Linked DNA regions of Xenopus tropicalis. The protein of the gene in region 1 interacts with the protein of each later gene in a pairwise test. Links are inferred from orthologs where the notes say so. Each region holds a gene or a part of one and is shown in the gene's direction. Other genes may lie near its edges.

Evidence for each region.
Region 2: the proteins of hspb11 (region 1) and ift27 interact in binary tests that used the Homo sapiens proteins (3 or more experiments, as listed by UniProt). The two-hybrid records come from large-scale screens. The link is inferred for Xenopus tropicalis from reciprocal best matches to the Homo sapiens genes IFT25 and IFT27.

What each region holds. Positions count from the first base shown.
Region 1 is NC_030680.2:97,386,643-97,391,050, reverse strand, and holds the start of hspb11 (intraflagellar transport protein 25 homolog), read left to right. Parts: upstream 1-1,426; 5' UTR 1,427-1,527; coding exon 1,528-1,628; intron 1,629-2,860; coding exon 2,861-2,967; intron 2,968-3,598; coding exon 3,599-3,667; intron 3,668-4,408. Other genes in the region: lrrc42 (leucine-rich repeat-containing protein 42), read right to left, coding at 1-251. UniProt on the Homo sapiens protein: Component of the IFT complex B required for sonic hedgehog/SHH signaling.
Region 2 is NC_030680.2:123,419,659-123,423,480, forward strand, and holds part of ift27 (intraflagellar transport protein 27 homolog), read left to right. Parts: intron 1-619; coding exon 620-737; intron 738-1,798; coding exon 1,799-1,908; intron 1,909-3,367; coding exon 3,368-3,466; 3' UTR 3,467-3,822. UniProt on the Homo sapiens protein: Small GTPase-like component of the intraflagellar transport (IFT) complex B that promotes the exit of the BBSome complex from cilia via its interaction with ARL6. Not involved in entry of the BBSome complex into cilium. Prevents aggregation of GTP-free ARL6.

The sequences.
Region 1 (4,408 bases):
GTAAAGAGTGACTTGGCAGAGTAGCGTAAGCTTCCCTCCTTAGTATATGTAAAAATAAAAGGTTTCTGCCTGTGTCTTGAGGTATCTTCTTGCTTCCCACATAGTTCCACTGAGAATCCTTTAGAGAAAAGGCGGCATGGGCGAGTCCTGAGCTCAGAGACATGTGACCCAACAACTGACAGCTTTCCTCTCTCTCGCACATAAACCGGTCCTGTCTCCTCGTTCCTCTCTGGCTCAAGGCACTGAAACATCTTCTTACAGGAAAAGAAAAAAAGTTTTAAGCAAATGTAATATTCCATTCTAACTTAGCAATTGTTTATTGGTGTAATAGGGTAATGCCCCTTCAGTTTATTAGAAGTGATCTCACCTTACCTTTCATCCGCAAAAACTAAGTAGTTTTGTTTCACTGCTGTTTATTAAGGACACTGCATCTTGTCTGAATGACAGAGGTTTTCACTAGAAAGTATTTAGGTCAAAGCTATTTATTTCCAATTAAAATTGTGACTCATGCAGACTCTTTATATATTTATATGCTTACAAAATCTAGCTTGTCCTGAAACAAGATAAAAATAAGACTAAATTGAAACACTGAGCTGTAAATCTCACCCCATACATCTAGATGAAATAAATCACAATGAAAAAGGGGCTATGGAAAACAATATATATAATAATATATATGACCATCTTTAATAAGATATATATTGCCAATGTAAAAGAAAATGTAGAGTCCATATGTGCAGATAGAGCAAGGGAACACATATTAGCAATGGGTGCCTTTATAAACAAAGTAAATTAAGAATGCAAAGGTGATTATAATTCAAAAAGGAAAAAGCAGAGCTATAGCCTAACACTGTTGTTTTCTAACAACTTCTTTGGACCCTACAGTCCTGCACTGGCTAAAACTAGGCTAGTTCATAAGAATGTCAATATAAAACAGTGATAATTACAAGGTAACGGTGCATTATATTAAAGTTCTTTTTTGTGTAAGATTACCATCAAAGATGATATTTACTGAATACACATGCTGTAAGTTGGGTGTCGTGCATGACCGCACACAAACCCTTGATTCAAAATGAATGTTAATGGTTCTGTAATTCAAGGCAGCGCTGTACAGTAACTTCCTATTCCAATCGGTTTACAGTCTAAATCAAATGCTAATTCTCCTAGGAAATGAAGGAGCTTCCCATCTCAAATCCACAAGCATAAAGAATAAAAAAAAAAACTTCCGAGTGTGAGTTTTGATCACCACACGCTCATGGTGACACCATAACGGACAATATTTACACATAAACTATAAAACCAGAGACTCACCTCTCTGCAGAGACCAGTAAACTGCACCCGGAACGTCTGCTCTACGGAACCTTCCCCCCCGGCCGCGCACACTATATACGCTAACTCGGGAACACAGCTCTGGCACCGGAAGACGTTCCAAATTGCTAGGCAACGGCGTAACAACAGGGGGGAAAGTAAGTGGAGCGAATGTGAAGGGGCTGCTTGTTAGTTCCACGCCAAAGCCACGGCCTGAGCATGACACGGGCAGGGGACTTGTGCCTGAGTTGTGCCGGAGCCCGGGTCACACTGGCTACCAGCAGCGATGACAGACACCCGGCAGACAACATTATAGACGGGTGGGTATTGATGTGCTCAGGCTTTCTCCATTAGTAGTACAGCCATGCCGGCTGCTGCGGGGATATTATTCTCACAATGTAATGTTCCCAGTAGTTTTTGTTGGCTACCTGTGGCAAAATGTTCCTGTTTGCAATTTTTCTAAAAGCTGTAGTGTGTGTTATAGTGCTTGAGCTTGGGCAAGTACTGATAAATAACTAATAGCATACAAATAAATAGAGGACCTAGACATTAAAGAAATAGTTCAGTGTAAAAATGAAACTGGGTAAAATGGATGGCCTGCGCAAAATACAAAATTTTTGCAATATAATTAGGCAAAAATGTAATCTATAAAGGCTGGAGTGGGCAGATGTCTAACATAATAGCCAGAACTTTACTTTTTGCTTTCAGCTCTCTAACCTCTTATGGTGGCCATACACACTAAGATCTGCTCGCTTGGCGAGGTTGCCAAGCAAGTGGATGTTCTCTTGATATCCCCAACTATGGGTGGGCGATATCTGGCTAATTCGGTCGTTTGGCCAACATAGGCATCTGCAGGATCCAACTGATTTTTAAACCTGCCCGATCAATATCTGCCCCATTTCAGGCCAGATGTTGGTCGGGCAGACCCGTCTTTAGTGCCCATACATGGGCCGATAAGCTGGCGAATTGGTCTTAAAGGACCGATATCGGCAGCTAGAATTGGCCCGTGTATGGCAGCCTTTAGTTAGTCAGTGACTTTACGGGGGGGGGGGGGGGGCTAGGGGGCTAGGGACATGGGACATAACTGTTCAGTTAGTTTGTGAGCACGCAGGTCAGATTCAGTAGCAAACTGAACAGTTATGTCCCATATGCCACCCCCCTCAAGCCACTGATTAGTTACTTTGACCGGCCCTGTCAGCACTGTAATTGTAAAATATTTGAAGGAGCTTGCGTCACTCAAAACATTGATGCACAAGTGGTTTCTATAAATGTGTTATTTTTTCCCCACCTACTTCTCACGATGTCACTTCCTGTTTATTAGTGGTCAGGTTGTGGGTAAGGCAGTTGCAGATCAGGTAAAGGGCCAAAGCACGTAAAAATGCAGGGCAGAGGTCTGGGTTGGGTTTCAAAAATTGCGCAGGAGTCTATCAGGGCCTACTTCAGATCCTAGTATGTACCTGGTTGCATTGGTATGTTGGGCTCAACCAGATAATACTGTTCAGACTTTGTTTTTCTCTCATACAGTTACATAATTATGTTATGTTTTGTTTAGAAACCCAGACACATTCTGGACAACGACTGGTATGTATCCTCAAGAATTCATAATCAGTTTGAATGGCATTCAGAAAATTAACAAGATCATCCTCCAGAGCTCATTAGGTAAAATGGAGAAATCATAAATTTAGTTTTTGCTTCTTCATCTTTGGCAGTTAACTTTGAATATTATTGTGTAACTGATCGTACCATGTATTTCAACTTTACTTCATGTCATAATATTATAATGCAATAAAAGTATAGGTTGTTCCCTAGAAGCCCATAAATTTATATTTTTCATTGTGCCACTCTCAGGCTTTGAATTTTAACTGGTTGCTAAGGCTTACCTGTCTAGGAAATCAGGCATCAGTTTAGATGTTAGGATGGAAGATGAAAGTAGTGGGATAACAATGCAAAAATGGTGAAATATAAAGTATGGCTGCTGGATCAGTGACCCCATAAAACACAGAGATTTTTTTTGTTGCAGGGCAGAAAGAAGTAGGATAGCGAATAATTAAAAACCAGAATAAATAAGAAAGTAGACCGTTTGAAAAGTTGCTTAAAATAGGTCTATCGACAACATACTAAAATTGTTTTAAAGGTAAACCTCCTCTGTAACTCTTTTTCCCACATGGTTGAACTCTTCATTTATCTTTATACTTACTGGTGTTTTTGCTCTCTGCAGTTAACTAAATGCATTTATGACTCACATTTCATAATTTTATTTTATTATTCCTTTGGCCTTTATGGTTTTCAGTACGATCTGTAAGAATTGAATCAAGCACATCCAAAGAACCTGTAAACTTTGAGCTCCGTCTAGAAAGAGGTAAGCAATTAAACATGCACCATATTTAAATTTGATAAACATTCTGTATTGTGTAACATATGCAACTTTAATGAACTATAGAAGACACTTGGAAGATAAGCAGTAGGATTCATGATACCCTTAAAAGAGTGGGGTACTACATGTTAAGACTTTTTTTTGACAAAACAAACTTTTTTAGATATGTGGCATTTTATATGTTTACATTTGTAAATGCAGTGTTTTCCTGAAAATGATTGATAATAAACGTACTTAAGCATAGTGTAATGCTGGCAAAAGAAGCCTTTTGCCCACCAGCAGTCACAGATCTTCAGCTGGCTTCATCTGTAGTTTCAGAAGTTTCCTATTTCTAGTCAAATATTTTCTTCTGAACAATTCTTGGAGAAAATGATAATGAATTAGGGATCATTTTAGATAACAAACAACCATCTGCAAAGTGCAAAAAAAAAAGGCCCGGATGGGTGTGTCTTGCACACAGCCTTTTGGTCTTTGCGAATTGCAGCAGGTCACTGTGTTCTGTTTTGGAGTGCTGTATTGGTGAGGTGAGCTTGTTGGTGCTATATTGGAGGCGCCTATGTTTCTTACCCCTACCTGTCCCTAACTTGCGCATCTTTTAGACATATAAGTTAGAGAGTGACAAAAGACCCAGGTCATATAAGGGCACTGTGGTAAGGACAGGGCAAGCCTACACCTTGTGATGCCGCACTATGCTCCTTGTGCCTGGTTTTCAATCTGAAGCCAAGT
Region 2 (3,822 bases), about 26 Mb from region 1:
GCCAATCATAGCCCTTATTTGGCTCCTCCATGAACTTTTATGATGCTTGTGTTGCTCTCCAAGTCTTTTTGCATTTGACTGTGTCTCACAAGTATGAAAGGTTGGGGACCACTGCTATAGGGTATCCCATATAACTAGAAATTTTAGGAGCAATCTTGAGCTTTCTTCCCAAAAGTCATTCTGAACCAAGGGTTGCCAAAACAAGCAATTATCAGCAGCTTTCCAGAGAGACTCACCTCTTCCCAGTCATTTTTGACGAAAGAGACTCCAGAGAATTGGTGGACTACTAAGATGTAGTAGAAAAAGGCATATGTTGATAAAAGATCCAATGTCTAATTCACTAGTACAGGCTAATTGAGTACTTTGAGGATAGGCAAGGATAAAGCTTCCAGAGTAACCAATGCATTTCTCACATGAGAATATATGGACAAACAGCGATGCATTTATGATTGTGTATAGAAATGTGTGCCCATCATTTACAGGATCCATGTGGGTACCCTATAATGGTAATTAAAATGAAAATATATGTTTATGGGGGAATGTAGGAATTAGAAATAAGATTTTTTTGTAGCATTTCTATTTTTAATGCTGCTTTCTCTGAATGCTCTTTTTCATGCAGTGGGACCAGCCGGGTGCCCTGTGCTTGGTGTTTGATGTCACCAATGAGAGCTCATTCAGTAGCTGCGCAAAGTGGTTGCAGAGAGTTAGAGCGAAGACATTCAGCCCTCAGCTCCCAGGTTGGTGCCAGAGAATGGAAAGTTCCTTTTCCTTGTGTAGCATGCATTCATTTCTCTCTTATTTTGTGTGTCGCTGATTGAAAGGAGTGAAAGGGCCTCAGGTACTAAAGGCAACAAAGCAAAAAACAGTTGCTTTTTTAGCCACAATGCAGTGTTATTTTGTTCCCTAAATTTCATTGTCACTACTCATCAGAAATGTTGCACCTACTGCCAGGCACGGAATGCACAAATGTGGGCATAAAATACGTCCTTTTGTAAATGTCAGACAAATTGACATCAATGCCACAATATTACAGCTTGCTTGTTGGTTAATGCAATAGAAACCACATACAGTATGAGACCTGGGAGCAGTGCAGTGTGGAAGGTTCCCTTGCACCTGTAGCTCAGCATGCTGCACCACATTTTGCAGTTGGTCTTCATTTTTTGTTATTTGTGTTTTTTTTTTTTTTTAAATTATGTAGCTTTTTGTTTAGCAGCTGTCCAGTTTGGATTGAAGTGGCTATCTGGTTGCTAGGGTCCAATTTAACCAAGCAACTATGCAGTGATTTGAAGGAGAGACAGCAATATGAATGGAGGAGGGCATAAATAGAAAGTAAAAAAAAAAAGTAACCGTAATGAAAAAAATTGTAGCCTCCCAGAGCAATATGGCTGCTGGGGTTAGTGAGCACCATGTGAAAGCTGGAAAGTCAGAAGAGCAGGCCTGGATTTGGGGAGAGGCCACAAAGGCCCGGGCCTAGGGCGGCACAACTTGAGGGCGGCATGCAGCCCCACCACACCAAAATTTTGAAATTTTGTTCTGTTACAGAGCAATGGGGACTTCTCCCCACTGCTCCGTATGCAAGTTCGGTCTTCCGCGCATGCACACGCACCCGCTGTTCGCACATGCGCACTCCTGGGGGCTGTTGTTGGATGGGGAGATGACCAGGGAAAATCCGGCCCTGCAGAAGAGGAAGACAAATAATTCAAAAAGTTTAACCGGAAGGTAAACCATCCCTTTAATTCCTTGCTCCTATTCCATTCTTCCAGTTGGCTAATAGTGTCTACCTCTTTGCTTTTGTAAGGTGTTCTTGTTGGGAACAAGACAGACATGGCAGGCCGCAGAGCAGTGGAAAGGGGGCAGGCAGAAGAGTGGGCAGCAAGCAATGGACTGGAGTATTTTGAGACGTCTGCGGTAATAATCTTTTCTTCTTTTCTATCTTTAAAAGAATAATCACACAGTCCTTCTGTAATAGGAGCCTGTTAACCCTAATGGAGCAGCCCATTGGCACAACTTGCTGTACAGCTAGGGACAACAATACAGTCACTGACAGTGACAAGACCAGACAGACTATTGCCTGGCTCTGCTGCCAGCCCCAATCCCCAGCAGGGAACGCTCCACAACAGGGCCTGCACAACTGTGCCACACCAGGTTCTGTCATGTGTTTATAGTTTTTTGGAGATTATTCTTATGAGGCATACAATATGGCACCTCCCGTCATATTTATCAGTGCAAACAATATGCTCTCTGCTAAACAGGAAGTTGGTCCAGAGAACCTTTGATTTGCCCCATACAATTAGGCAAACTCTGAGCAAATGTTGCTATATAGATATTTTGATGCAGGTCTGAGATTCTTTATCTAATGTCTAAGGAGAGCACCATAGTGCAACCTCTTTATTTACTTCCTCTGTGGCCACATCAGCAACATTCTGTTGTAGGTTCACGTGCGGGCCACACTACATGTCCTTTTAACCAAGATTTATTATTGAGAGAGGTGAGTAGGGTTGCCACCTGTCCGGTTTTGACAGCCCAGTTTTCATAAAGGCTGTCTGGGTCAAAACTGCCTGCCAGGTTTTCCAAATAAGGGAATCTGGACAGGACTCCCCTTGGATGACACGGTGATCAACCAATCACTGATCCCTGTGTCACAGCCCTGCCCCCTGACACAATAAGCCTGGCAACAATGTGTCACCAACTTTTCTTTGATGTCACCCACATGTCTCCTGTCATCATCCATCTGCTGCCCGGACTGTGGGATCCCTAGAGATGAGGTAGAAAAAACAATGGGGGAAAAATTCATACCCAGAAAGAATGGAACAGGCGAATCAATATGGGGAGGGGGGGGCTCTTTTATAAGCAACCACAAAGCATCCCACTCATTATTTTGGTGCAGGACACTGAATATCACACACTGTGCCATTCACAGCTGGTAGTTACAGTGTTCTTGTGGGTTGTTGCCAAACTCTTTGTGCAGTATTTCACTTGCACATTTTAAAGTTGTGGCCATGCAGTTGTTTATCCCACTCTTCCCAAACCATATTATGTGCAGAGCAGTGAAAGCAGGCCCTGGAGACATACAAGTTACAGGCAGTAGTCTGTAGCTCCAGATCTTAGTTTCTTATTAATCATAATTTAAAGGGAAACTATGCCCCCAGAATGAATGTTAAACCAACTTATAGTTTATGTAGGTGGTTAATGAAAGAATCTTACCAAATTTGAATATAATATATATATATATATATATATATATATATATATATATATATATATAAACATCTTTGTATGTAATTTGTATGTTTTTAGAGACCTATAGTTTCCCTTTAAACATTTAATATTATTGATTCTGATCTTGTGGTAAATTGCTCCTTTACAGAAAGAACTGGAAAACTTTGAGCAGCCATTTCAAGCACTGGCAAAAGCTTTTCATCACCTGTACCAGGAAAGAGTGGAAAACTTCCGGAGCCTGATGTAGGGTCATTACTTTCATCTGCAGTCACTGCACCTCTGGTACATCTGATGGGACAAATCATAGCTCTTGTGTATTTGGATGTTCTGCACCTTTGAAACTTTAATGGACAGTGTCAGAACCAGAGCAGAGAGAGATGAAGTCTAGAACCTATGACTGTCTTGCTGATATTCAGCTGCAAATTCCAGCACTCAGAAGGCTGTAAGTGGGATGCTGGAGACTGTAGTCAACAACAGATGAAGGGGCCACAAGTTCTGAATATCAAACAATTCATAAAGAATGCATCATTAGTAATGATTTTTTTATCTGTCTGGCTAAGGAAGGTTCAGGGCCCAGGGAACTGCCCTCTCTCAACGTTCTTT